Linked DNA regions of Coturnix japonica. The protein of the gene in region 4 interacts with the protein of the main gene of each other region in a pairwise test. Links are inferred from orthologs where the notes say so. Each region holds a gene or a part of one and is shown on either strand. Other genes may lie near its edges. The genes, in order: RAB3IP, UTP25, RAB39B and RUFY1.

Region 1 (7,505 bases), on a different chromosome or scaffold from region 4:
TATGCTGTTTACAGGCAGCCCTCAGTCATTGCAGGTCATTAGAGAGACTGATGAGCTAACTAGACCTGTAATATGATTTACAATGGTCATTTTTATACTTTGTTTTGTCAGTCATCATTAAGTGAATTTATACTATCTGTCTTTTCATTAAAGATCTAGAGAAGGGATTGTTATGTTTCCAGTGATAAAATAAAATCCAACAACCCAAAATCCTGCTTACTTACTTTCAGTGGTATTCAGGATATTTTTCTTATTTAAATTGATCTTCTTGCTCTTCAGAAAGATTTAACAAAAAGGGGAGAACTGGCATGGAATCTAACTACTTTGTAAGCATCATATTGAGGATTTGACTAAATAAAGGTTTTAAATATTGGGCCAAGAGCATGAAGAGGGAAAAATCTGTTTTTGTTTCAATTTCCCATGGAAAGAAAGTGGTCAATGTGTAAAGGATAAACTGCAGGAAATCCATCCCAACAGTACCAACATCCCAGACAGATAGTTCCTATTATGCACGAGTAACCTCAAGGATAAGTGGATGTGTCTAACTAATTCAGAATTCATGAACAGGATTTAGATAAACTGAGCATCTATACCCAATGTAAAAGCTAAATGTGTCAGTTGATTTATGTTATTCTCCCAAAAGCTGAAGTGTTTCTCTGTTGCAGGTAATAAGAACTTGGATCTAGTGGAAGTGCAAGTAAAGACAGAGTGCAGATATACACATAGCACACTGTAGGTTGGAAAGAAGGAACATCAAGCTATAGTTATTGAGCAATTTTTTCAAGGCAGCTTTTTTTTTTTTTTTTTATAAATTGTATATTTGGGTGAAGTTTTGTTAGATGTAGAAAATAATCAGTAATTACTAAGAAATGCATTACCACTTGATTTCTGCTGTCTAGTTCTAAAATAGCGGGTTTTTTTCCTGCTGATGTCTCGTGGTTGTATTTATTTTAAAGCCAAACCTAGGTGGGTTTTAAGGTATAGGAAATGTTCATTCAGGGAGCAAGTTACACCTATTGAGTTTCATTTGTGCAGTGAGGTTGGTGGCTTAGCAACCAGAACAGTTATGGACTAGTTTAATTAAGATGGTTGTTCCTGATTGTACCTGAGTGCAAGACAAGTAGCTCTAATGGAAAACAAATTTGCCTGTCTAATTTTTGTGGGTTCTTTTTCAAGGAGGGAGGGGGAGGGGAAAAAAGCCATAAAAAATCTTCCTGAAATGTAAAAGAATGGTTAAGTGCTGGAAACTCAGAGAAGGGGTGGTAAAGAATAAAAGACCCAAAGAGGCTGGTTCAAAGCAGTGTATTGCTCTTTTAAAATGGATTAAAAAACAGTTTCAGCTCCTAGCGTATGTGTTCATTTTTTCATGCTCCTGTCTGTATTAGTTGCTTCTGATATTCCAAGACTTTCAAGTCACATTGGCTTTATGGAGATACATATTATGAAAGCAGTATTTATATGTCTAGTGTTTTCTTGAAAATGTTTTCTTCCAAAATACCGCTTTTCATTCTTGTTTGCTCTTTTTGCATTCACTTTGCTTCTCTTTGTACTCTGGAGTGGAGCAGCAACCTAAGAAGCCCGCAGAGGGAGCAGCATTAGGATCTGCTTCTCATTTTTCCACTTTAGTAACCTTTTTGTTTGTCTTCTGTGCTTTGGCTGCGCATTTAGTGTTTTTTTTTCTTTATTCTCCATGACTGCCTGCCATTTCTAGAGGCACTTTTTCTACATGACATTTTCTTCCTTTTGTTGCGTGGTCTTTGATGCCTCTAACCTTCCTGGCCTGTGTTTGGCCTGCAGTGTCTTTCCCTTCATTGTATTCCCTTTTGGTTTTAGGAATACAAACCTATTACAATACAAGAATAGGATTTAACAGCCAGTTGGAGTGAAAAGGTGCTGAAGTCTGTGTCAACAATCTCAAAGCCAGTTTGGCTAAATCAAGGTGGTACCACGCATCTTGGGAAAGTGAGTTGAAGGTGTTTGTTGCTGGGATATAATAGTATTCTTCTACAGCGTGGTAGAAAACTGAGTTTTAATGATCACTGTTTACCTGTGGATACCTGTAGATGGCCAGTTGCTAGTGTGATAATTACAGTATTTAAAATCTGCGACTCTGTGTGTTTTAGGCTGACCTGTCTTTGTACAATGAATTCAGATCATGGAAGGATGAGCCTACTATGGACAGAACATGCCCATTCTTGGACAAAATCTATCGGGAAGATATTTTTCCATGTTTAACCTTCTCAAAAAGTGAGGTATGTACTCTTAAGTGTTGTCACTGATGCTTTTTATTTAAATATGTTACATGGAACCAGTAGACTATCTTAATTTACGTATGAAGTTCAAACATTTTTGTTTCACCGGAGTATGAAAGTTTACAGTGAAATACCCAAGTTTGGTCTGGAGTATTGAAGTGATCAGTTTTTCTTTTCCATTTCCTATTTTAGATGTGGCTTTCTTAGGTGGAGGCTGTCTACCTCTTTCTGTGTTAATACTGCCTATCAGAGTAAGTGTTTGTAGGAAGGAGTGATGAGTTTTCCCCTAAGTCAGAGGTCCCATATAGTAGAAACCGTGTCTTGTCACTGGCCCTTGTTTATTCAGGAAGCAATACAAACCAACATACCTATTTTTATGGACCTGTTTTCTCTGATTAATCAGAACAGGTGTCTTCTTGAAGAGAGGTTTGTGTTGCAAGAATTAGACTTTAGGATTTGAAGTAATTTATCATGGACAGTTTGGAGATGTAATTTAAGATAAAACAAACAATGCGGCTTTTTTCTTTGTGTTATTTTTCCATTTCTTCTTCCTTCCTGGTACAGAGGAAGTAATGGCGTTGTACTCATGCTGGAAATACTATGGAACTGATTCCAGCTGCAGTTCAGTATCTGGTCTTTGTTCTTAAGCAGCGTTTGTTGGCTATAGTTGCAGTATCCGTCTCCAGGGGAAGAGGAGACAGCATTGCATATCTTGATTAAGACTAACAAATTTTAAAGCTCTCAGACTTGATTTCCCTCCCGTCCCCAATTAAATTAAGTAAGTCACATAGGAAAAGTGGTATATTTTCCTCAAATTTGTCTCTTATTTTCACACGGTGTGTGCACTTTTCCCATGTTCTTCACTTGCTGTTACCTGCTGGCGATAAGTATGAGAGATCTTGTAGTTAATTGTATGGTAGTTCATTGTGATTGGTGTAGAGCATTGTATGAAACTCTCCTACTAAGGTGTTTGCTCACTTACTATGGGAATTTAAATTACTTCTGCACTGTGTGTAAGTAGGCCATCCTGTTGTCTTTCCCAGCAGCTTGGTTTTGTTTTCTTCCACTTCGGTGGCAATACAGTTACTGTATTTGTATTTCCTCTTAAGGAGAGAGTAAGGCTTCTAGCACAGGTCAGCTGTACAAGTCAGTGTGTGCAAATGCTGTACACAGTGAGGTGCTTTCCTTTGAATATCAATGAGCTGCTATGTAGTTAATAAGTGACATGTATTATGTTTTTGAATAATTGAAAATGCAGTTATCTAAATGGTTGAAGTAATACTTCAACTCTTTGTAGCCACTTGTGTATGTGTGTAGCTTTCTGCTTTGCTTTTAGCACATAATATTGGGAAGAATATTTTGTGTGAAGCACTTTTGTAGTAACATTTTAATTATGAAATGTTCAAAGTACAATAGAAATATTTTTCTATTACTCAGTAGCAAAGGAACGTGGACAAAGAATTATTAAATAAAATAAATAGCACCTTATTTTAAATCAAGTAATGACTACTACTTGTCCATACTTAAACACTAATCTTGGACAACTGTTGAGTTCAGTCAAGCAAAATGAGCATATTTCTAGTGTGTTTATAAAGAAATAACATAAAAAAGCCTGAGGGAAGTTACACTTCCTTTATGAAGGTGATATTTTAACAAAACTAGTGTTCTGAAGTTACCATAACCTGTTGTCTCTTTTATATGTTGATCAATCTTACATGTTTGAATGTCTTTCTAAAGTAATTTTTGCCTGAGAAATAGGTGAATATTTACTTTGTTTTACAAGTTACAGAAGTTGCCTGCTGTTTTTTGTTTTGTTTTGTTTTTTTCTCCCCTTTTCCTGCAGAATACAATAAAACAAGAGCAATTTTTTAAATACACAAAGTTTGAGCCATGTTCAGTATCTGGTAAAATCACTGTGTAAATGTGTGTCCTGCTCAGATGTATGAGGAATAACTGAATATGTACTTAGCATGCTAACCATACATTCCCTGCTGTAGAGGCAGTCAGCTTGCCTGAGGGCTGGGTAGGGTTATTTGGAGGGCAGAATTTAAACTGAAGCCTAGGAATTCTTGTGTATGAAGCAAGCAAAATCTTATTTGTGATTGAATTTGTGTTTTGTTAGTTGACTTCTTCAGTGTTCCTAACTTAAGAGAGACAGAAATGTGTCACTGCATTGTGGCTGTGGATCACATGGAGCTGTTTTTAACTGCTTTCTACATTTCTCTTGCAGTTGGCCTCAGCTGTTCTGGAAGCTGTTGAAAACAACACTCTGAGCATTGAACCTGTCGGCTTGCAACCTGTTCGATTTGTGAAAGCTTCGGCAGTTGAATGTGGGGGACCAAAGTATGTTAAGCTAACAGACAGAGGGGAAATCTGGACTCATTTGAGATAACTGTATTCTCAATACCAGAGTTATTAACTGATCACCTCATTGAAATTTGTGCATGTTATACTTGTAAACATTTATTAAAATATCAGACTTCAGGACTGCTGCAAAATTTTTATGGGGGAAGTAAGCAACTAATAATGCAAATGTAAAAGGTTTGTTTTATATTAACCTTTTTAAAGATAATTCCCTTTTATTTGTAAAAGAAGCATTCTCTTCCTTGGAGAGGATCAGTCTGATTCTTAAGGCAGATTTCTGAACTAGGGGCTGTCACTTGTTCAAGAAAAAGGTATAGAAGTAGTGTGGGATCAACATCAGAGAGCTAGAGTTATTTGTGGGATAAGAAACCTAAGAAGTACAGAGCATACAGAGCATACTCACAAAGGCAGCTGAAGTATTTGAGAGGAGGTATGTAAAGTAAACCCTCTGAATGTGAGCAGAAGGAATGTAGTGAAGAGGGAGTAAAGGTGAGGGTGAGTTTGAACATAAGGAAATGTGGTTGAATGGCAAGATGATTGCTTTAGAAAGTTTGGGATGGTCCTAGAGGAATCTGAAGCAAGTCTTATATGTTAGATACTGATGTAGTTGTTAAGGTAAAGTGAGAGAGACTTGCCTGAGGCTCTGGGGCTCTGAATGTGAAGAGGAAGGGATTTGTAGTGTGCTTTAGAGTATGTCACGGTTAAGCAAGTAAGGCCAGTAATCACAGTCCTGAGGTAACCACAGTCACCTACAGAATCACAAGGTTGGAAAGGACCTATAAGATCATCTATAGGAAGTCTTGACTTCTTGCCTAAAAGATGTTTAGCAGAGTTAATATTTCTCTGTAATATTTTTTTTGTTGTTGTTAGAGCTCAGTTTTCTGGTAGAGAACTTGAATCAGAATGTGAATATCAGGATCAACATAAGTTTTTTTTTTTCCTCATTGCTGCTGTTTTTCAATTCTCATTTTTCCTCATCAGTTTTGAGTGGCAGAGAACATACACTTAACGTGTCAAAAGGAGTTTTTGCTTTCTCTCTAAAGAGGCTGTATTGCATTCTCCAATGTAATCCTTCAGTAGTTGGCTGGGTAGGAATTAACTTCTTGAGATGTCTCTGCAGAAAATGTAATTTAGTTACATTAGGTATGTTGAATGTCAAGATTTACTCTTTCCTCTCTTCTACAACTGTCACGAGGTGACAAAAACTTCTGTATGATTGCTTGTGGTTAAGTAATAGGTAAGGAATATGCAGTATGTAAACTTAATTTGACAGCAAATGTACTTTGCCTTAAATATTACTGGCACTGGATGGGAAGCAGCTGTTTCACTTTTCACTTAATCAGAGTAGCAGCTTTGCATTTTCTGTTTTTATGTGGTGAAAATCACTGTTTTTATTGAAACCATGTCCTTTAATAGGTAACGTAATACAGACAAGCAGCATAAATAAATAATAACAGTAACTGGAATAATACCCCTAAAGGAATAATGTTATTGCCCAGTTGCCTGGGGGACGGGAAGAACGGATGCATAAACTAGTGGGTAATAACCCTACAACAAAACAAGGAGTGGAGGTCAGGGAGCTGTGATATAGTAAAGAAAGGTTCCTGACATACAAAAGTTACTGAATGGTGCCAGTGGTGGTGTGTAGTAATGAAATACAGCTGAGTTTCCCCACAGGATTCAAGTAATTGTCCCCATGGGGAACAAAGCACTAAGCTGCATGTGTGCTGTACAGTGCAGAACTGAGTCATTAGTAATAGCTGTCATTCCAGCATTTAACCTGGTGTGATGGCAACACACTGTATAGAAGGTAAATCTATTGCTGGAAGAAGAAAGAGGGCTTTTTTTCTTGGCACTAAAAATCTATTTGCTCACAAAGGCTTGACTGCATTTGTGATCAGCCTGCTTCAGCTACTATAGAATTTCTTGGATCAATGTCAGTCCTTATAAATTACTGTGGAAAATCATATACACTCTTCAGTTTTCTCCTGTCTTGCACGGTTCTGTGGACCAGCTGCAGACTATTAAAGGGGCTTGTAGGCCGCTATTGAGACTGTGTGAGCTTAGTAATTTTTCTTTCACTTTTGAAAGGTGGCTGCTTCTTAAGACTCCCTAATTTTGTGAGATAGAGATGGGAGGAAATCTAGAAGCTTTTGAAGTCAGTGGAACAGAAGATACCTGACAAGCCAGTTCATCTGGGATGCTGTGATATAGAAATTCCAAATCAAATTCCTGCTGTGTTGACATTTATTAAGACAGTATTAATAGCGGCTTCCTCTTCAAGAGAGATGTAAAACTTTTTTTCTAAATAATACTGGAAGAGTTATTTGGAATTGAAGAATTTCTGACTACTGACCTTCCTTCGTTCATGTATTATCATACGTGAACAGTATTATTTGCAGTACACCAGGAAAAAGTAAACGTAATTATTTTGCCATCACTTTCTGTAATGGTAATGGAAGGAGTTATTACAGGCAACCTGTTTTCCTTCACCTCAAGTTCTTTTATACTCTGAATGAAAAAATGTGATTTCACTTTGGGCATAAATACAAAGCTGATCTTAGAATGCATCTGACAGAGGCTTTGTGCATTGACTGTTATTCTTTGGGGCTTGTGTTTTTTTTCTTGGTATGCATTTTAAATGTTGGGATCTGCTGATCATTCAAACAACGCTTATTCCACATATAGAGTTAAAGAATTCCTGCTGTTCCAGACTTGTCAGACTTGAAGCCATGAATGTGAAAGCGTCTGACCAATGCTGATAAAAGATATAAAAATGGGAATATAGTATGATGTGCTAATGTTGGAACAAAATTTGTCCTGGTCAAGCTGGAGTAGTTGATGACATCATTTTGTAAGCTTCAGTTATTAAGGCAGAGTTGAGTACCT
Region 2 (8,046 bases), on a different chromosome or scaffold from region 4:
GCTCTGGTACATTATCCTGCTCTTCTTCATCTCCAACAGCTTCTTTGGGCTCCTGGGACCCTTCACTGTCCAGCTCTGCCTCACTCTCCTCAGCTTCTTCTGATTCACTTTCATCTTCCTCCTCCTCACTCTCAGACTCAGGAGATGCCTTCAGGGTAGCCAGAAGCTTGTGATAGACAGAGACTTGTTCCACCTCAGTCTCTGAATCGCTTTCCGCACTTGATTTATCAGAATTGTCAGACTAAATGTGAAAACAATTAACAGCAGCAGTCCATTAGACAGCAAGCAAACACCCTCAGCTCCAGCTCCCATACTACATTTCCTTCTTGTCATTCCAGCCCTTTGCAGATGCAATGAGATTTTCCCCTAATGTCCATTCTATGTGAAGAGTTATCTTGAACATTTCCACACAGATTCTGAAAGGACCATGGCAGACCCATGTCCTGGTGTTTTTTCTGCACTGATTTGACTCAGAGCATCACAAGATTAGTTTCTTTCAGCCTTGGAGAACACATTTGTTCTCGTGGACAAACAGGCCTAAGAACAATGTGCCAGGTTACAGCCAACATCACAGCAAAAACAGGACTACAATCACAGCACCATTCCTTCTTAGCTCCTTTCAGCACAAAGCGAAAACTCAGTAAATGCAATATAAATGCAAAAAATAAAAATAAAAAAGTGCTTAACAGATAAGAGTCATTCATTACTTTTTCCACACTACAACTGTGAAGTCTTTAACTGGTCTGATGACAAAGGAGGTTCACAAGTCCTAACTGAAAGAAAACTGAAGCACTGTAATTTGAAGAACAGAAACGAGCATCAACATTTCTTCATTCAGCAGAGAACAAAGCATCTCATTCTCTAACTCAAGCACCACTGTGTATTAATAAAATAACTTACAGCATGTTTCACTTTTTGCCAGGGCTAAGTAGCATTAAAAGACAAACAAGAATAGCAATATTGTATCCCGTTTCTTCTGTTGTCTCTTGTTGTTGCAGTTACGAGTTTGACACTATACAGAACAATTTGGAATCACAAAAAAAATCATTCATTTTTTCCTTCTAAAAGCAGGTTTTCTAAAAGGAACAACAAGAAAGGCACAGCATTCCACTTCGCTGAACCATACAACAAGTAAAGTGAGGAAGAAATAAAAATATATTACCAGTTCACATATTTGAGTTGCTTCTGGTCTTCCAGAAACCCTGAGAAAAAAAAAAAACACAAAAATATCTTGCTGTCAATGATATTTTGCACAGAATAAACACAGATAAGAAAAGGAAGAAATTGTTGAGCCTCAGAGCAGTTGAAAGAGAACTGAGAGGCAGAGCATCACACAGCTCTCCTTAAGGAAAGAGTCAGGGCTCACCCTGACAAAATCCTCTGAGCTGATGCTGCAGCCTGTGTGTGAAGCCCGGGTGCATGCGATCACAGAATCACAGAATGACCCGGGTTGGAAGGGACCTCAGGGTGACTTGCAGAATCAAACTCTATAATCCAGAGATGGGTTATAAAGCAGGTATGTTTATTCCAGTGTTGCACAGCGCTGGGTGCAAGGGGGATAGCTCCTCCAAACTTGCACAGCGACTTGTAAAATAGTGACACAGATATAGGTACATTTAATACATAGTCAATGATTTCTCAGAATTCTAATACATAGTCAATAGTTCTCGGAATTCTGATACATATTCAATAGTTCTTTAGCATGCAGACCCCCTCTTGTTCTTATCAGGGGGAATGCAACTCCTCTTCTGGGCATCCATGAGGTCTCACTGCTTCTCTGCATCCTCTCTGCTCTCCTAGGCCCCTTGTTTCTTTTACTTGTTACCTTTAAGTTTCCTTTACTTATTTCTATGAACTACCTTTAAGTTTCCTTTACTTGTTTCTATAAACTACCTTTAACTATCCCCCTTTTAGCCCCCCTTTATTCCGAATTTTAGCGGAGCATCTGCTTCCTGCTTCACTGTTCAAAGGATCATGTAGTTCCAACCCCCCTGCCTGGCAGGGCCACCAAACATACACCTTTACTAGATCAGGTTGCCCAGGGCCCCGTCCAACCTGGCCTTGAACACCTCCAAGGACGGGGCATCCACAACCTCCCTGGGCAGCCTGTTCCAGGACCTAACCACTCTCCTAGCGAAGAACTTCCCCGTAACATCCAACCTAAATCTTCCCTCTTTTAACTTAAAACCATTTCCCCGGTCATGAAGGGCAACATTTTAAACTCCCTCCTCAATTCCTGGGGGCTGCTCTCTGGAGCACGGGCTCCTACCCGGGGCACTAAGCACTGACACACCGAGAGGGGTCAACAGACACACGTGCTGCGGGCAAAGCTCATCAATCCAGCAGCGCTCACCGGTCGCACACGGGGTGCTGCTCCCCGAACTGCCGCAGGTGCTTCCTCTGCCTCTTGCTCAGGCCCCGCACCAGCTCCCTGCCGCCACGCCGCTTCCCCATGCCGGCAGCGAGGCGCTTTACGGTACGGCCGTCAAGGGCGGCTGTCGTACTGTCGTACTGCCGTGTGGCGGCGTGCTGAGTGCGGCTGCTTGTGTGGGTTAACGTTTTCCTCAGCTCCTACCTAAGCCTGATCCTATTAAGGGCTGATAACTAAAACTCAGCCAACTGAAAAGCCACACTGACCGGCCGTTTAGTCAGAAACCGAAGGCCCAGAATAGAACAGCAAAGACAATAAAAGACAGCCCTTTAACCTTACTGAGCATCCAACTAGGAGGTGTAAGACTTAGCGCCCAGCACAAGCGCATTGTGATACTATATACAGCCGGGATTTGGCAGGTGGCTTATGTAAAACTAAGACATGTCAATTGGAAGGAATTTGAAGAAAATATCATACAGAATTGAAAGAAGCTGCTCCTCTGGGGCATCATTTAACCAGGTCAGCACATACTTTCTTCCTTACTGTTATATAACTGATATGATTTTAAGAAATGCTATTATTACTAAAAGGAGGAGCAGCTGGAAACTGTGGATAGCAAATAGTTTCAAGGGATAACCAGGCAGTATATCTCCTTCTAAGGGATTTGATTAAATACTTTTTTTTTTTGTTTTCTGGGGCATATTGCAGAACACGCTCAGGCAGCTTCCCCTCTGTCATGAATGGTATCAGTTCTACTGTCTTGAAACACCCACTAAAACAGCTTTGGGCCTCTCTACAACTAGAAAACACAGCTGATCTTCAAGCACAAACTTGGCTTCTCATCTTTCAGCTATTTCCCATTAAAACTGTGTACTTCTGTCTGATAATAACACTAAGCTTCTTTTCTTTAGTGAATGTGAGCTTAAGTACTGCCAGCAAGTATGGTCCAGGCTCTTTAGCTGTCTGGTCATAGGCATTATTTATGTGAATTACTTTAACAGTAGTTAAATTACAGTCAAAATAGGTTTCCACAGCTCTGTGCTACTGCCAGCCTAGTAAAGCCAAAGTGCTTAATGCAGTCTGAAGCCACTGACTGTTCTGCATCTAGCAGTGTCTCTTTTGATTCACAGCAAAGTAACCCTCAAGTTAGCTGAACACCCTTTTGCTATCTGTACTGTTTTTCTCCCTCTAAGCATAACCAGTGTTCAGCTAGACTAGCTTTACTGAATAACCAACCCACCACTTTAGAAAGAGTGGTGCCATGAAATAAAGTATTTAGTACACTGTTTGTCCTATGTACAATGATGCTCTCTAGTATCCATTTACTTTGCAATGTGGTCTTACAGCTACTTAATAAAATTAGACTTAAACCTGTAAAAAGCTGATACTTGTACTGGAATCAATGTGTTGTTCTTTTAGCAAACAGTTAATACTGGAAGTGACGCTATTGGAACTGTAAGAGCATAGAAGAGTCTCATCATGCCTCAGTGTTCCTTAAGATTGCATTCTCTGACTTGTTGCGTGTTAATATGCAAGCTGAATATGCAACTGGGATTTACTTATTTCAAAGCAGCGCTATCAAAAGAACATCTAACAGTTTGGCATCCCTTACCTTAAATATTACACTAACGCCAGCAGGATTTTCTAAGTATTTCAGAATTCAGACGCCACTCATTATCAAATGGAGATCTAGGTTATTTAGGAATATGCTTTATCTTTCTAATAACATTACAGATGATCACGATTTTTGATCAGAGTGTGCAGTCAAGCTTCTTCACTTCATACATGTTCCATCAGTCTACAAGTTCTGGAGCTACGATCAAGAATAACTCAGTAAAACAAGAATATACATGATTATTTTATAAAACAGGACATTTATTTATCAGTTTATCAGACTGTCTTAGTAATTGAGGTTGATAGGAGCAACTAGTTCCAGTACCAACACCCAAATACCTGGTGAATTCATGATTTCACTTCTGTTTCTTCTGCTTGAGGTAGTGTATCCCAAACTGGCTCCTGGATGTGTTCAGGTATTTTCTCTATCTTAGTCTAGTACAGAAGGAAGGAAACGATTTATTATATCAACTAGTCAACATCTAACTGCTTTGCTTTATTTTGGTTTCAGATATTTATTGGATTAATAGTGCCACCTAGTGACGTTTTTCAGTAATACATCCTCCTTTTAATAGTAACACAAAATGGTCTTTACAACTACATGTGTATACTGACTTTCTAACAAATTCAGTAATTATTAGTACTTGCATCTGGATTTAATCTCACAGCAGTTAAGAACATGAGATGGGAACTTACCTTTTTTACTTCCATGGCAACCCCTTCAGGTAAGTTTCGTTCAACATACTCTAAGTACACTGCAGCGGTACTGCCCGTGAGGTGTTTTAACTAAAACAGAAGTCATGTGTTTTATTAATGAAGGATAATACTTCAAACAGAATATAGAAAAGGAGGAGTTTGCTCTGACTTCTCTAGTTTTTGCAGTGGGTCCAAGCATCTTACACTAGGCCAGCTCCCATAGAATTCACCACAGGCAGGTAAGCAGTATGTATCTTATGCAAGTACAAAGCAGCAACTTCATGCAGAACTGTATATACTGTGTGTTCATACGTATTGATTATGATAGAAATGATGGACCTTAATACTGCAAGTATCAGATCAAACTGTGTGTTATGCAAGAACTCTCAGATTTGCTATACCCCTCAACATTCAAACTGGATAGCAATCCCCCAACTCCAGAATTTTACCACGTTCTTGATTCTAGTTTCTCTTGGAAAGCAGAAGTTGTATTTATGGTCTGTGGGCAGCCATCGGCACTGCTCTACTGTCTGAGCACTGAGGGCAGAGACACATTTCACTAAGCACAACTATACCATAATAGACCCTAGAGGCCACAAAATGCCAGCAGTAAACTTCTTCTAAGAAAATCAACCACAGCTGCATTCTAGACCATATATATGTCTGCGTCACCAGCCACAGAGCGAGTGGTTTGTACACACTTCCTTTCTGGTATTTCTCCCCTTCCAGTTTTAGTTTGTCACATGATGCTGCACAGGGCAAAAGCATTCAAAATATGAAGCAAACTCATGGAGAAGAGAATGCTCAGTGACTAGCAATGACTGTAACTTACCTGCAGCATCTTCCCTTCCTTGAGAAAGTTCTTATCCCACAGATTAGAAATTGAGAGCATAAAATATATAAAGGTAACTCTGATACCTACCTTATTTTTAAATCATTCTTCCATATACTTGTCAAAATCAGCCTTATAGGCAGAAATTAGATGGACTGTACATTCAGAACAATTTCTGCTACATTTGATGTACCTACATCAGCTCTCTCTTACTATATTCCCAGCACTACCTAAATCAATATTTCTTCCTTTTACATCTTTCTTACCTCCAAACAGGTGTAATGTGTTCTCATTTCATACTGAACTCTGTGCTTCTTGTAAATGTGTACAGATTTTAACAGTGTAAGTCGTTCTATCGTCTTTGGAGGTCTGTGTCTGAACAAAGTAGAAAGAGAAAATGTTGTAATATTGAATTTTACATAAATGATGTTAATATAAATTATCTGAGATTACAGTGAAATCTGCTCTTATCTGACATTTAGAAGATCCACAAGGCAGTATGAAGTACTGGTACAGTTTAGCATTAACACTACAGCAGCACCGATGACTGTAACAAGAATATTCCTGGTGTCTTTCACGCAGTTACAATGCAATCCTACTATGGCAGCACTGCAAGTAGCACTGCTTCTGCTTTCTCATCCCCACACCACCATCTGGGAAGTGTCAGATTTATATTTTGAGAAAGAATGTCAGATTAAACTCATTTCTTCTACAAAAGGAAAATACTTGTAAGCGCGGAACTAGAGTTACAGCAGATGATGTAAGAAGCATCACATCGTGCTACAGATTGGTTACTTACACTTTTTCAACAGTTATGCCAAGTTCTTTAGCTGCCAGCACTGCAAAATACTCATAGCTGTCCAACACAGCTTTATCGTGGCCTTTAACTAAAAGGGACAGCCTCCGGTAGAGTATTTCTGGTTCATCTGAAATAGACACCTGTATTTTTTAAGAAAAGGCAAGTGTTACCACCCCATGTTCTCCTTTATTAACCCAGTCACTACGTATCTTCTTAGCCCATGTGCCCCATTTGTAAAAGAGGAAAAAAAATACACATGCACATCTCTCACTGCTCATTTGATATTTACCTGCAAGAGGATAACTGTATTAATCTCAATCAACAGTCCTTCATCTTACTGTCCCTGCTAAGTGTAAAGGGAAACCTGACTTCTGAATATTCAGGCAAAATTTCTCAATCAAGAATGCAAAGGGAACGCCAACTAAAAGGGCAACACTTGCAAAGGCAAGAAAAATAACTTCTTTTTAAAGCAAGTCTGGAGCAGCAATATGAGCATTTTAAATAGAAGTGTGAAAATACATGAAATTCTCAAGTTTTTCTTGGTTATCATTATGGTCAGGTACAAGAATTCTCACCTTCCTAAAGTAAAGCTATGTAAACACACCAGTCTTCTCCACACATATTATCCTTCCTATTTGCCCAGGTTAGAAGTCTATGAATCTCAAGTTACAATTTTATGACTGTTAGTTTGACCATTCATTTCTAATGGCCTGGGCCCACTGTTCATCTGAAAAACCCTGGTTTACTCCCGTGCAGTTCAGAGCAGTAACTCCAGCACACAGCAGACATATCAAAAAGGTTGAGTTTGTGTGGTGGTTGAACCTGGCAGGCAGCTCAGCACCACAAGTTGTTCACTCACTGCCCCCTCCCAGTGGGGAGGGAACTGAGGGGGAAAAAAAACAAACCAACAAAGTAGAACTTGTGGGTTGAGACAAAAACTATTTACTGCAACAGAAAAGAAAGAGGACAAAAACAATAGTAATGTAATACATAAATAAATAATATAAAGAAATATGTATCTGTGTATTCCTCTCTCACTCTATACGCATACACAAAGCAAGGGATGCACAGCACATCTGCTCACTACACACTGATCGATGCCCAGCCAGTCCCCAAGCAGCACCAGCCCCTCAGTCAATTCCTCCCACTTCCAAAGCATTTAGAAGCAGATGCCCTATGACACGGAATATCCCTTTGGATAGTTCAGGTCAGCTGCTCCTGCTCCTTCCCTGTACCCCTCAGTCCTCTCGCTGGCAGAGCAGTAGGAGAAGCTGAGATGCTGAAGCATCCATGGCTCTGTACAGTGCTGCTCAGCAGTAACTAAAACATAGATGTGTTATCAACATGGTTATTCTCCCAAAGCCAAAACAGAGACACAACAAAGGAGGAAAGAGACAAAGAGGTGACTGTGAGCTACAAGAATCCTGCTGAAAATACAGTCTCAAACAGCACTAATCTAAACTGTTTCTTACTCTAAGACCAATTTGACATTATCAAGACTTAAAAAAAAAAAATAAGCCAACGACCTGAAATAGAGGGATTTACTTCTTATCTCTTTTCTCTTTATAATTACAGTGGTATACACAATACCTTGTTCTATGAAACACTTACCAGAGGATTAGTCTTAGGCTCCTCTGTATGAACATGGGATCCAGAGAATCGTCCTCCCATCAAGTCAAAGTTTCTAGGTTTATGGTAAAGGAGAGAGCATAAAATAAACGTTAAAGTTGCACT
Region 3 (6,206 bases), on a different chromosome or scaffold from region 4:
GGGTAACGGTGTGACAGTGAGAGCGGACGCTTTGCTCCCCAGCTCATAGCGTGGGTGCGCTTCTGTTTTTCACGCATCTCTGAGCCTCGGCTGCGCTTTCATCCCTTTCCCTCCGGAAGCGCTTGTTTTCTTTCCTTTCTCCTCGTCTCCGCTCAGCATCACATCGCAGGGCCGCGCTGCCGTCATGTCGCCGTTGTTTCCATTCAGCAGATGAGGGCTGGCTGTGCTCGCTGCTCGCACAGGGGCGGGCTTTATCCCGGGGCCAGAAGCCGCCGCTTTATTAACGCTGGGTGAGAGGAGACAGCACGGCACTCGGTTGCATCAGATCCCTAAAGGCGGCTGTGTGCCATCCCTTGTACCTTGCCTCTCGCTTGTACCCTGCTGCGAGGAGGGGGGGCTGTTGGATGCCTTTGGTTTCCCATCTCTAAAATGGGGGGAAGTCTGGAGCCCTGGGGGCTGCTTGTTGTTCTTGCTGTTGCCTGAACCTGCATGTAGACGTAGTGACGGGCGACCTTCAGCACAAGGGCAGCGGTGCTCAGCAGCAGCAGCGTGAGGGGCAGGAGGGTCTTTGGCACCATGGTGCTGGCAGCTCCTGGGCTGCCCCTGAAGGATGTTCAGGGTAAAAGGCAACGTGCTGCTATCAGGGGGCTAAGCTGGAGTTGTGGGTGCAGGCAAGAAGCACAGCGGGGCATGTGCTCTTTGCAGAGCCCTTCACACTTATTTATCACAGTGCAGGGAGTTTCTTAGGAAGGAACTCCGCTATTTCATTGAGTTCTCCATTTTGAGCATTTACAGCTGCTTTGCACTAGTTCCCAGCTGTCTCACGAGGAGGAAAGCGCTGCCATTGCCTGGAAGACACCACGGTGGTATCTGCTGCTCTGCATCTGTGCTGCAGTTTTGCTCTTCCTGACTGTTGTTGTGAGTTCTCTCACTCTCTGGCAATGAGAAGCTATTCCTGTGCAGTCAGGGCTTCATCTGCAGTTAAGCACGTGCCTCTGTTTTGTCACCAGCCCCCAAATGATGCTCTTTGGGTCAGCATTGAGGCTGTTTTGGAGTTGTAGAACAGCAGGGTTCTGTTCTTCCCGGATCCAGCAGGTTGTGCCCATCGCAGGTTGCTCAAATACTCCAGTTTCTTGCCTGAAACATGCCGTAATGTTAACAAAAGCAAAAGTGTGTGCAGCCCTCCCTGTCTGGGAACATGTGCCAGCACCTACAGAAGAGCTGAGCAGGGTCTCAAAGGGAATTGGGCAGTGAGGTGCAGAGGGAGGCGGCGTATCTTGCTTTCTGCACATCAGTAAAGAGATGTTGTGTGGAAGAGGCTTTAAGGAAAGGCACCCAGACCTTCACCCAGTTTTGCCTCAGCGCAGAGCTCTGTTCAGATCCTGTCACATCTCTCAGAAGTACCTGAGGCGCTGCTGGTGCTGGCAGGAGCAGCCGGGGTTGTTGTGCTGGTGCACGGGAGAAGCAGAAGTGCCTGTGACAGCATGGGGAGCAATTCAGAGTGCTGCCATGTCTGCAGCTGGAGAGCAAACAGTAGAGCTGATTCTCTTGTTCCCAAATGTGCAGAGCTGTTCTTGTCCCGGGGCCAGTAACCAGAGAGGGAAAGTTAGCCGAGCCAGCTCTGCTTTTTTTCTTTCCTTCCTTCCTTTTCTTTCTTTTTCTTTAGCTGGATTTTCACCCATCACTGCGTGACTTTTGATAAAGCAAACCTTGAAAACGCCAGAGAGTCCTTTCTGGGGGTAGCACAATAACCTCTAACAACAGATGTTCATAGTGGAGGAAGAGTCGTCCCAAGCTAGAAGTAGCAGTGCTTTTCCCAGCAAGAAAAAGTGCAGGTCCCTGTGTAAGTTCCTTCAGGGACTGAAATCAACGAGTGCTTCTGGATGTAGAACTATTCCATGACTCTGCACAAACAGCACAGTTTTACAGCTTCTTGTTTATTTCCACGTGTAGTAGCTCTGCTCAGTTTTGTGTTCTCTGCAGAGCTTTGTTGGCTGACTTCATGTGCTGCTCAGGCTGCCTCAGTCTGTGGGGAACGCTTTCCATTTCTCAGCCTGAGGGTCTGCGGGACCTTCTGGGGGCTTTTTAGGGGCACAGCTCCATCTTCTGCCTTCTGACCTGTGCCCTCCCTCTTTGCCTTTTATGTATCTGCCAGGAGGTGTTTGGCTTTAGGTAAATCCTTTGAGCTGTTACAGTGCTTCTAAACCAGTGGGGCAGTCAAACCACATGGAGTACTGAGTTGGTGTGGTGGGGCCTCGTTAGGCCAATGGCAAAGAGAATATGGAAATCTGTGATAGAGAAGCCAGAATTGGTGGCGGAGTAATAACAGATCCACAATGCAGCGACCCGGGGATGGAGTTTTACGCCAGGATTAGTTGTGTTTGTGAATGACAAGATGTGCAGAGCACAAGTCAAAACTGCGAGATGTGACTGAGCAGCATTCTCTGTCCTATGTACAGGATAGGCAGGGTGGCAGGAATGCTGCCTTCTATAGCAAAGTGCTACATTGGGATTAAGGAAAAAGAATCAAAAAAGCAAGCAGGAAAAAAAGCAAAAAGTGAAAGTTGCTGTGCCCTTCCTCCCAAATAGCAGGGACTTCCACGTTTGCTTTGGATGGTTTTTTTTCCAGGTCCATCACCAGAGCCTACTACAGGAACTCGGTCGGTGGACTCCTCCTGTTTGACATTACAAACCGCAGGTCCTTCCAGAACGTCCACGAGTGGTTAGAAGAGACCAAGGTGCACGTCCAGCCCTACCAGATCGTCTTTGTTTTGGTGGGTCACAAGTGTGACCTTGACACGCAGCGGCAAGTCACCAGGCACGAGGCTGAGAAACTGGCTGCTGCTTATGGTATGAAGTACATTGAGACCTCCGCTCGGGATGCCATTAACGTGGAGAAGGCCTTCACTGATCTGACTCGAGATATATACGAGCTTGTTAAAAGGGGGGAAATTTCGATCCAGGAGGGATGGGAAGGGGTAAAGAGTGGGTTTGTCCCAAATGTAGTGCACTCTTCAGAAGAAGTGGTGAAATCAGATAGGAGGTGCTTGTGCTGAGCTCGTCTAGAGAGAGAAGTGGTGATGAACTCTACTAACCAAACGTACTTTACTAAGTGAACTCAGTGTGCCAGAAGGGAGAGCAACGCTCCCGTTGTGAACGGCCTCCCACAGTTTTTTGGACACGAGAACAGACCCAGGGAATAAATGTTCTGTTCCATACAACTTTTCAGAACTGGGGGCTGCAAACCTAACAGAGTGAGTGAGGGTGCATGTAGATTTTGTAACGAGACCGCAAGCAGAAGCGAGGGACAGCAGAAGGGGGCGGAGCACACAATGAGATCTGAATGGGCTTGGATGTGCCACAGTGCTGTACGTGTCCTGTTCTAAGCCAATCTATAGTGCCGTGCTGTGTGCTAAAGCCACAGTATGGATAGTGCTGTAGTACAACAAGCAGCAGAGAGAAAGAAAAAGGACATCCGAGTTTGCATCAACTGCTTAATACCAGGAAGGTGTAAAGGCAGCATGGGTACCATTTCCTCCTAAGGCCAGTGGCATAGGAAAAGTTTCCTGATGTGGTATGCATACTTCTGAATTGTTTTTCTTACATTCTTGAACCTAGTTCAATAGTAGAGTATTCTGTGGCATTTTAAGAGGATAATAGTACTCATTTGATTGGTCATTACAATTTAAATGATCTCCCCAGGTGTTTTTCATGCTGTCAGCTGGGATTCTGAGTGGCATCGCCTGCTGCATTAGTCATTATTCAATGCATTTTTTCAATATTTGCTGCCTCACCGTGTACCTCAGTGTACCCCAGGTCAGGGATTCCCAGTGTAATTAAGTGAATGGGAGCATAAACAGGAAACCTCGTACTCACCCGCTGTATCTGGAGGCTGGAGCTTGGCACCCAGGTGGGACACACCAACACCTGTCTGCTAACAGCACTGTGCTGACGTATTGGGTGCTCTGTTAGCTGGGGCCACAAGGAGGAATGGAACAGAATTGGGCAGGGCAGGGGAAACTTGAAAAGCTTAATTCAGGTGCATCCACAAGGTGAGATTTGCTTTTAAAGAAGCTGAATAGCATGGAAAGCAATGGCTTCCATCACTACTTTCTGCTGTTAAAGTGTCATTTTCTTTCTTGGCATCTGTGGAAGAAGAGAACTAGAACTGAGGAGGAGGAGCACAGAACAGAAGTGTGTGAGCAGGAGGAAAAGGAATAAGCCCCAAGACAAGCTCAAGAGTAAAACTGGTTTTCCTCCTTGTTTTAATTTGACAAGAGATGATCCGTATCAGGTTGGTCATTGCGGGTGGAAGCTGTTGTTAAAAAGGCTGTACGTGGGTGGCCATTTTCTGGGCATGCTTTGTTTCCTCTAAGTTTTAACCAGCTTTACAATTGCAGCAGGGTAACCTGTAGCAAAGTTCAACCTATTTAAAACAAACAGAAACAACAGTGACCATTTAACTCCAGTTTGTGAGCCCTACACACCGAGTTGATGGGCAGGAGGGAGTAGGTAAAACCACAGGAAGCACCTGGTGTTTGATTTTTAGGCCTCTATGTAGAACAAAAGATACTCGTTACAGCTTTTTTAAGCTACCTCCATATGGGATAGTGTGAGTCTTCAGTGGTGTTGAATTCAGACCGACTCCCCTGAGCCTCTTCTCATAGTTTGCAGCACTTGTGCTGGTCTGTATGAATTTAAAATGATTCCTGTATATAAAAAGAACCCACCCTGAAGATGGATTACAATTTCATTTGAGCACTTTTGGAACAGTTTCAGTTCCCCAGCACTGCAGGGAGCAGCAGTGTTGCAGCTGCTGGGAGGGCACTGGGAGCAAATGAGTGAGGGAGGGGTGGCACCGCTCTAGCACTTCTCATTGAGCTGCTCACTGCTGCAGAACTCGGCCCATCTAGAACAGGCTCTACCTGCACCGAGAGCGCTGTGCTGAGGCCCATCAGACTCCAGGCACACTCGGTGGTGGTCGAGCTGAGTAACATGAAGGTACAAAAAAGAAATCTCTTAAAAAATCTCTTTCTAGGTAAGTGAAGCTGGAGAAGATTGATGCAGAGCACCACAGGAGCTGGGCTACCATGGGCTCTCTACCTTCAGCTTCTGCTGACGCCGGTGGGGTGCACAAGGTTTGCTCAGACCGGGACTGCTAGTCCTGTTCTCACAAAGACGAGGGCAAACAGGTATGAAAGGGTCAGTTTTCTTCTTCTTTCTTTCTATTGAGGTCTGGCTATTCACAGGGTGTGGTTAGGTTGCCTTGCTGACCAGTGGCTGTCCTAAGGGCAGAGCCTGAGAGCTTCATTAAAGGCAGTTAGGACTGTAGAAAAGATCAGAGTTTTAGCAAGAGTAAAACCTGTGAGCTTGTGCAGGAAAAGCTCAGTTCTCACAAGACAGCTGCTATTTTATTGAATGGCTTTGGACATTCCGCTTCTCTCTCTCTGAGTCTTTCAGCTCCCAGAGAGGAATTCCAGGAAGCCCCAATAAGCACGTTATGTTCAGGCCTACAGAGCCAGTACTTGATTTATAAATACGTGTCATAATTCTGAAGAGAAACAGTACAGAAGGAAACGTATGCATTCCTAACTACTTAGAGGTAATAAATAAATGGTTATATGAAACGATAGAGAAATGGTTCTCTACATCTTTTTCTAACTCCTTGCATTTTTTTAGGCAGCTTATTAAAATATAGGAAATGTAGATTCGTCTGTACAAAACTGGGAATGTTTTTTCTAAGATGCAGAACTTACAGGATGTGCTGAGCATTCTTTTCTAACAACCGCTTTTAACGCTTTGACTTCTGGTGCAAAGAGGGCTGTAGAGAAATCAAAGGTCAGAACCTTTCACGGGACAAAGGTCAGGAGCTCTTTTACTCCAGGACAAAAAGAAACAAAGAGCTAACTTAAATCAATCTGCATGTTAGATTCTAATTGCTCTGAGCCTCCGGAATAAAAACATACTATACACTTTCCTCGCTTTCTGTTATGCACTGTAATGAACTGTGAAAATAATGCTGTATTTAGCTGTCTGTATGTGACTGGAAATATGCTTGTATTTAGCAAAATGGTTACTATGTGATACTGTGAAATGTAAAACTTGTAAAGAGACTGTTGGGTTTTTTTTCTCCCCCCTCCCTGCTCCTTATCAGTAAGCTGTCTCATACCTGTACCGCTTCTGTACAGCAGCCCTAACTGGAAATC
Region 4 (7,423 bases):
AAATGGAAATAGCCATGAAACTTCTGGAAAAAGATACTCATGAAAAACAAGATACGTTGGTTGCACTTCGCCAACAGTTAGAAGAAGTGAAAGCAATTAATTTGCAGATGTTTCACAAGTCCCAGGTATGTGCATAGCAGAGAGCAGAGCAGCTGCAGCGATGGCCTTGATGTGATGGTAATGTACGTGGTGTGCATCTGCAGTTATAGCTGCATCCATTTTCTTGGGAGTATCTATTTTAGAAGTTGCTTGGTTTCCTTTTTGTCCAAGTTTTGGTACTAATACGAGATTGGGTGTTTTTGGAATTAAGGACTTTCCTTGAGCTGAGCCATGTGCTGCAGATCATCCAAGAAATGTTATGGAGAAACACAGAGCTCTGGCAGGGAGGGAAGCTGCTTTTGAGGGTCTTTGTTCTGACCACCAGAAGAGCAGGCTCTCAAAAACACAGTTGCTTCCTGCAGCCCAGAACTGCCCTGTTGCTGCTTCCCTTTGTGTCAGCCTGCCTCTCAGTTGCACCACATTTAACAGTGCTTACCAAAAGAACAGCAACTTTCACTAAACCGACAGAAAGCCAAGGCTTTTTGTTGGTGGTTTGTGACAGTTTCTTTTTCTTCCCTGCTATACAATGCCCTTTAAGTCCAGCTTTTGCACAATAGTAACGTAAATGGTAACATTGAAATATACCATGACACTTTCTTTGGACTCCTTAAGAGAAGATTTCTGGCTTGTAGCTGATCTCTTAAGTTAAAATGTTGTTGTAAACAAGTTCCTTGTTCTGAACTCTTAACAGAGCAGTTGAGGAGTGTCTGCTCTGCCATTACCAGCATTTTGTTTGTACACTGCAGTTAAACCTGGGCACGGTTTGTCACAAACTGAACAGGCTTTATGTAGCGACTGCCTGACCTCAGGAAACTACCAAGTATTGTCTGCAATATCCCACTGCTTTATTCCTGCAGAACGCAGAGTCTTCTTTACAACAGAAAACAGAAACAATATCTTCTTTTGAAGGAAAAACGAGCGAGATGATGTCTGCTATGAAACAAATGGAAGAGAGGTAATAATTAGAAGCTCAATACCATTGGTCAGCAGAAGGGTTCTGGCTGAGATCATTATAGAATGGCTTTGTATTTCTCAGTATAACACTCTCAAACATCTCCTACAGACACCTGGGCATACGTGCCAGCACAGTGCTCTGCTTCCTTTTCCCCCTATTACTGCTCTTCCTGCCTGTCTGTTCCCTGTGCCCAAGCAGACACGCACATCGTTGACTCAGCTGAAAATCACAGCTCTTATGTAGGCAGACTGTTTAAAAACTGTGTTCACATTGCTTTAAGCACAGGTGTGGCTTCTGTGTTTTACAGAAACAGCTTTCTAGGAGTTCTCTTTTCTCTGCTGGTACCTTCAGTTCTACTCTCTGTGAAGATCTACATTAAAAATGGGACAGAACAAAATGCCAGTGAATAGATGAGGAGAATGTGAGTTGTCAGCAAATCTGTGTGTTCCTTACTTTGCAGATTGCAGCATGCAGAAAAGGCAAGGCAGGCTGCAGAGGAAAGATGCAACAAGATGAAGCAGGAGCTCGCCAGCAGACTTGGCACCTGTCAGCAACAGATGTCCCAGCTGGATGGCAAATGGTATTGCACTGGTATTTCATCTCATCGCTCTCCCTTTTTTTATTACTATTTTCCTTCATTTCTGCTATTTGGTTAAGAAGTGCTCTCAGTGCTCAGCTGTGCAGGCTTAGTGTATCATCCTCAGGAATCGGGATTTGGTGTTCTTATCCTCTTAGGCTTGTAATACCTAAAATGTTTTGTTTGCTGTTTGCACTTAGTGTCATTTCAGACGTGGCCATTGAAACACAAATAGTTAATCAGACATTTGTGGAGATGGTGGTGTTGCTTCTTTTTGCCCTTCTGGCTATTCACCATTTTTACTGCTTGTTTTCTGTAATCTCTAAACACTACTATGGGCTGGTTTTGTCTGCTGCTGTAACACCTCTGTTCTTTCCTTTGCCAGAATACTGATGTAGGTTTTGTCCTCTTTAGGCCAAGTTTTCTTCTCATACTGTTGATATCAATAAATACCATGGGATGATTTTCTGCTCTAGAGTTCCTCTGAATCCATTATTTTTTAAATAGCTCAACTCTGGAAAAGGAATTAAAAGCTGAAAAGGAACAGAGGCAGACTTTGCAAAGAGAACTGCACCGAGAGAAGGACGCTGCCACTCTGCTTAAAGCAGAACTGGAACAAATGGAAGGACTGAAAAAGGTACACATGGTGCAGACATGTCCAGTGCTCAGAATTAAAGCTGACTTGAAACGATGTTCAAGCACTGAGAACAAATGAGTTGGATGGGCTTTTCACTGCGTTTGTGGGCATAGAACTGCTGCATTCTGGCTGTGCTCAAGGGTGGTTAAAGCCTGAAAATCTTCCCTTTCTTTCTGGTAAATATTGTTAAATGATTTCATTGTTTTCACTCTGCAGGAATCCATGGGTGGTTCCCCCATCTAAAGCTAAAAATGAACCCTTAGAAATAAGCAGCTTTGTGAAGAAGTTTATGCTTGTGAATTGTTTTGGTGTTTTGCATAGTGTGCTGCAGGTCACACTTAGCACCCAAACTTGATTTCTGTGTTTGATTTTACAGGAGCTGAGAAAACTGCAAGAGGAGAAGCAGCAGCTGGAGAAAGTCTGCGAGGAGCAGGAACAAGCTCTGCAAGAAATGGGGCTTCATCTCAGCCAGTGAGTTCTGGGAGCTCAGCTGGGGGTGGCGTGACTGGGAGCACGGGGATTCAAATGAATTACAAAGAAGTTTAAAATGCATCACTTGTAAAAATAAATAGACATGAGGATTTCTTCTTTTTTTCCCCCCCAGATCTAAGTTGAAGATGGAAGACATTAAAGAAGTAAACAAAGCACTAAAGGTACTCTATTATTTTGTGGATATTTGGGCTTAAACATGCAATTCACTTAACACCTTCAGTGCTCCCCACAGATAACTCTTATTTTATCCTACATTAAAAAGATGGCTTTTGGAAAAAGAATTACAAACAATGTGGATAAATTGCTTCCAAGCCTTATGACTGTACTTACCTCTAACATGAGCCCTTTGCTCCCATTTCTCAGGGTCACACCTGGCTGAAAGATGACGAAGCAACACACTGCAAGCAGTGCGAAAAGGAGTTCTCTATCTCAAGAAGAAAGGTAACATTGTTCACTGCATTTCTTCTTTTTCTCTCGGGAAAGAGAAGTTGTGCTGTTGTATTGTTTGCTGACTCTGCCTCAGTCTAAGAACTTGTGGGTGTGGTAACTGAACAGGTAACTAACCATCCTAAGAACAGCATGTCTTCTTGTCTGCTTGGGGGCTCTCCTTGGCTGGAGGCTGCTGTGGGTTATGTTCTCCTGCAGTGTGATTTGTCCTCATTCCCTGCTGAGTTCAGTGTGAGGACTGGCAGCTGACAGGCCGAGCTCAGTGCCTTGCAGTTGCAGGGGATGAGGACAGTTGTGTGTACCTGCAGGAACAGGGCAGGGCCCACCTGCCAGAGGTGCCAGAGCAGCTGATGGGCAGCAGGGCAGCTCCGATGGCTGGGCCAGCTCAGGCTGAGAGCAGCTCGTGGCAGCTGGAAAGTTGAGCTGCATATGGACCATGCTGCTTTGAGTTGATTTCTCTGCAGAGAAGGGAATGGCGCTGTAAGGGGTGGGCTTACGGAACGTGAGGATGAGATTAGTGGACCCTTAAGGCTTTGGCCATACCTCCTCGGTACCATTCATTTGTAGGCAGTTGTCCTACAAATTCTACAAATTACTACAAATTACAATACTCTTACTTAAGCTCTCTGCTCGTAGCATCACTGCAGAAACTGTGGGGACATCTTCTGCAACTCCTGTTCCAGCAACGAGCTCGCACTGCCCTCCTATCCCAAACCTGTCCGTGTCTGTGATACCTGTCACACCTTATTACTGCAGCGGTGCTCATCCAATTCCTCCTAAGCCTTTGGTAACCTCAGAGGGACCAACTCAGCACTGGAAAAGTAGCCATCACTATTCTGAACTCCAGGCGCCTTTGCAGCAGGGTCTGCTCTGTTCTCCATCGTTGGGACGGGTCGGTATCAAAGAATGGTGGGGGCAATGCAAGTGGAATAACTCTAATTGTATTACCTGAGCTCCATTCAAGTTCTATTTGAAACTAAAACGCAAATCCATTTGCTGATTTTTTTATACACAAGATATTTGTATTAATATTTGTATATGGGATTTCTAGTCACTCCATCCCTCTAGAAGTTACTTCTCTGTACATTAACTTCAGTCCCTCTGTATCCTCACTGTAGGCATTCCTGTTACGATGGCTAACGTACAGTTCTGTATTTGAGCTAAGAAAAGGAATGTTCACTTACTGTCTATGGAAAGAGCTTTATGCGTGTCCATGAATGTGCCTTCCGTATAATTCAGAATAAAAATCACACCCGAACACTGGTTCTGGAGGTAGCTGTGAGCACAGTGTGGTAGCTGCACAATAAAAGCCTTTTGCAGAAAGAATCCCTCCGCTCTGGTTTTTTTAACACCACATCAGCGTTGTAAGGTCTAAATGCACAGAACCAGCTGCCCTGCCACGTCACTAGGCTCCAACTGTTCATAAAACCACATCTTTAAGCATGGCATTTGTTTGACAAATTGATTTATTGAAACACGGCTGCACTAAGCTGCAAAGTCCATTGATCCGGCACTTTGGCTCCAAAGCATCGATGCCTGTAGCTACACACAGCGTTATCCCCCAGCCCTCATTTGCAACTTCACAACCACGTTATGCAGCCAACATCAGGCTGTCACACTGCAGCCCCACAACAGGAAGCACCTTCCTTCACTAACTCTGCTTTTGGCCGAGAAACAATTGTCACTTAACACCCACACGGCCACACAGTTCCACTCCTCCAGCCTGAAAGTCACAGAGCAGCACAAGGACTGACTACAAAGCAGCACTGGCACATCTCAAGGCAGAAGTTCAAGAAGAAATGAGTTCCAGTTTTTAAAAGGAAGATTTATTTAACAAGTTTCACTTAGCGCAATACACCTAAAAAGGAAATCACGATACAATGAAAGATTAAATCAAGGCCTCAGAATTGTATACGAACACCAAGACCCAAATCCTAACGTAGCCGTATTGCGTCTCAACACGTTTCCCCCATTAACTTAAAAAAAAAGCTTTAACGTGCCTTACAGGGTATTAAAAGAAATAAACTAGAACTAACATGCCAAATGTTCACTTGGAATCTCAGACACAGCTCCTATATCGTTTCTTTACAAAAAAAGCATGTTTTCTCCAACATGTATTCAAAACAGTGTCAGATGTAATATGGTATAAGAGCAACATTTAACATAATTCAAACAGCTTTAACCTAAATACGCTTACTGCTTAAATACACTCCTACAACAAAACTAACTTGAGAAACGCTCCGAGTTGTTTAACAGTTATAGTCTCTGCTCAACGGGGTTATTACGTCCTAGAGGAAAGTTCATTCTGTATGTTCAAAAATACCCAACCTGAAAGGTTTAAAATAACAATCCTGATTTCACTTACAGTAAAGCATAAATCACAAGCTCGTATTGCAAAACTGTTAAACTTAGTTTTTTGTTTTTTTGTTTTTTAAAAAAGATTTGACCAAAAGTCAGCCATTGGTTACATTCCCCAGCCACCGCTCATGTTGGACATGTTGGACATCCCTCCCATGCCGTTCACTCCCATGGACGCGCGGTTCCCGCTGCTGTAGTAACTGCTGTTCATGGCGCCCTGACTCCCTGGGTCTGGGGTGGAAACCAAACAGCACGTTACAAAGGCTGCAGCCATCAGCTCTCACAGCACCTGGCTGTGAACATCTCTGCTCAGTACTGAGAACTGCAGCTTAAAGCACCTCCAAAATCCCATCGGTTTGCTCCATGAGCCAGCACTTGCCCTCCCAATTTCCAAGGGCCCCAGCATTTTCTGTGACCCTTCTGTGCAGAGAACCCATTCCCCCCATGTACTCCCTCCCCTCCAATTCAATCTGGTGCATTTACACCAGGCGAATCTCCAGTACCCACAGCAGAGTTAAGCATTCCCCATGCACTTTGGAACTGATTTAGCAAGCTTCTCCTCAGCACTCAATTTATCCCTGCTTTCAATTTATCCCCCCCTTGTTCTCAATTCATTGAGGAATGTGCAGCCCCCTCCCCACAGCTGCCCGCAAACACTAATGAGCAGGGCCTCATGCTGGTGCTGGCTGTGGTCCCACAGCCCGTTAACAGATGGACTTACCGTATCCACTCATGCTGCTCTGCCCACCATATCCGCCTCCGTAACCCCCGCTCAGCTGCTGGTTAGCTGGGCCACCATAGCTGGATTGGCTTCCTTTCAAGGAGAGGATACAAACATTACAAACTGGGCAGTCTACAAGTCTGCCTGTTACCAACAGTCCTACCCTACCCTACTACAGACACAGCACTACACCCATACAGATACCCAGCTCCCTTCAAAGAAACCCCAAAACACCACCCGCCTTGTTAAGGTCTAAGAAACCAGAAAAGCAAGGTATAAAGAAGAGTGTAGGTGCATTACAGCAACAGAGCATCATGCAAGACTTACCTGCCAACGTGCTAGTGTTCCAATCCTGAACCACCCCTTCGGATTCCTTGACTGCATTAAGATATAATGCTGCATTTCAGATTTATGCCAGTCACTGAAGCAGAAGCTGAGCAAAATTAGCCAACTCCATTCAACATTAAGCTCTTATATACATACCCATCGCCCCCATCATCTGACTGCCATAGGCACCACCAGTTCCTCCTGCTGTTGAGTTCAAGAAGAGTTCGACGTATCTGTGTTCTGAAAGAAAAGTGAGAGCACTTCACATCAAATCCAGCCTCGCTGCAACAGAATGCTGGGCATCCAACTTGCAGCAGATGCTGCACAGAGCAGGGCTGTGCTTTCCCCTTCACAACAGTTACACTTACGCATGTTTGCTTTGTCTTTGGACATGGCAGCCACCGCATCCTCGTGAGTAGCAAATTCAACATCCGCCTCTCCAGTCACTCTGCCATCTGGTCCGATCTCGATGTGTACTCTTACAGGGTTCAGAGGTGAGAAGAACTATATACAAAACACACAGATTAAAATGCACCAATATAGCAGCTTGGTTTTACAGCAAGTCGTTCTCTGTGCAGGAACGCTTGCTGAAGAGCAGCACAGTTACCACTCGCTGCACCAACTGCAGCACCCTCAGTATGTAACAACAGCAGATCTGGAACTCACGTTGTAGATGTCGTTCTCTGTCGCTCTGTAGGGCAGACCTCTCATGTGGACACAGTGGCCAGTCGTGCTCTGGAAGGTGGACGTCCCGTCGCCGTATCTGTGGTCCGACATTCCTGCAGAGAAGAGAGTCCATTCTAGGTCTTT

The links.
Region 1: the proteins of RUFY1 (region 4) and RAB3IP interact in binary tests that used the Homo sapiens proteins (3 or more experiments, as listed by UniProt). The two-hybrid records come from large-scale screens. The link is inferred for Coturnix japonica from reciprocal best matches to the Homo sapiens genes RUFY1 and RAB3IP.
Region 2: the proteins of RUFY1 (region 4) and UTP25 interact in binary tests that used the Homo sapiens proteins (3 or more experiments, as listed by UniProt). The link is inferred for Coturnix japonica from reciprocal best matches to the Homo sapiens genes RUFY1 and UTP25.
Region 3: the proteins of RUFY1 (region 4) and RAB39B interact in binary tests that used the Homo sapiens proteins (3 or more experiments, as listed by UniProt). The two-hybrid records come from large-scale screens. The link is inferred for Coturnix japonica from reciprocal best matches to the Homo sapiens genes RUFY1 and RAB39B.

The regions. Positions count from the first base shown.
Region 1 is NC_029516.1:32,273,489-32,280,993, forward strand, and holds part of RAB3IP (rab-3A-interacting protein), read left to right. Parts: intron 1-2,123; coding exon 2,124-2,252; intron 2,253-4,482; coding exon 4,483-4,595; intron 4,596-7,505. UniProt on the Homo sapiens protein: Guanine nucleotide exchange factor (GEF) which may activate RAB8A and RAB8B. Promotes the exchange of GDP to GTP, converting inactive GDP-bound Rab proteins into their active GTP-bound form.
Region 2 is NC_029518.1:20,192,099-20,200,144, forward strand, and holds the start of UTP25 (digestive organ expansion factor homolog), read right to left. Parts: upstream 4,101-8,046; 5' UTR 2,455-4,100; coding exon 2,354-2,454; intron 1,203-2,353; coding exon 1,163-1,202; intron 242-1,162; coding exon 1-241. Other genes in the region: MRPS10 (28S ribosomal protein S10, mitochondrial), read right to left, coding at 4,334-4,420, 4,682-4,771, 5,780-5,888, 6,313-6,452, 7,924-7,996. UniProt on the Homo sapiens protein: Component of the ribosomal small subunit processome for the biogenesis of ribosomes, functions in pre-ribosomal RNA (pre-rRNA) processing. Essential for embryonic development in part through the regulation of p53 pathway.
Region 3 is NC_029519.1:13,299,387-13,305,592, forward strand, and holds part of RAB39B (ras-related protein Rab-39B), read left to right. Parts: intron 1-2,629; coding exon 2,630-3,056; 3' UTR 3,057-4,155; coding exon of another isoform or gene 4,156-4,166; 3' UTR 4,167-5,038; coding exon of another isoform or gene 5,039-5,046; 3' UTR 5,047-6,206. UniProt on the Homo sapiens protein: The small GTPases Rab are key regulators of intracellular membrane trafficking, from the formation of transport vesicles to their fusion with membranes.
Region 4 is NC_029528.1:4,495,701-4,503,123, forward strand, and holds the end of RUFY1 (RUN and FYVE domain-containing protein 1), read left to right. Parts: coding exon 1-125; intron 126-956; coding exon 957-1,054; intron 1,055-1,514; coding exon 1,515-1,634; intron 1,635-2,138; coding exon 2,139-2,268; intron 2,269-2,644; coding exon 2,645-2,739; intron 2,740-2,872; coding exon 2,873-2,921; intron 2,922-3,123; coding exon 3,124-3,201; intron 3,202-3,843; coding exon 3,844-3,987; 3' UTR 3,988-4,533; downstream 4,534-7,423. Other genes in the region: HNRNPH1 (heterogeneous nuclear ribonucleoprotein H), read right to left, coding at 5,672-5,796, 6,287-6,379, 6,614-6,682, 6,770-6,853, 6,982-7,117, 7,280-7,419. UniProt on the Homo sapiens protein: Activating adapter involved in cargo sorting from early/recycling endosomes. Regulates retrieval of proteins from endosomes to the trans-Golgi network through interaction with the dynein-dynactin complex.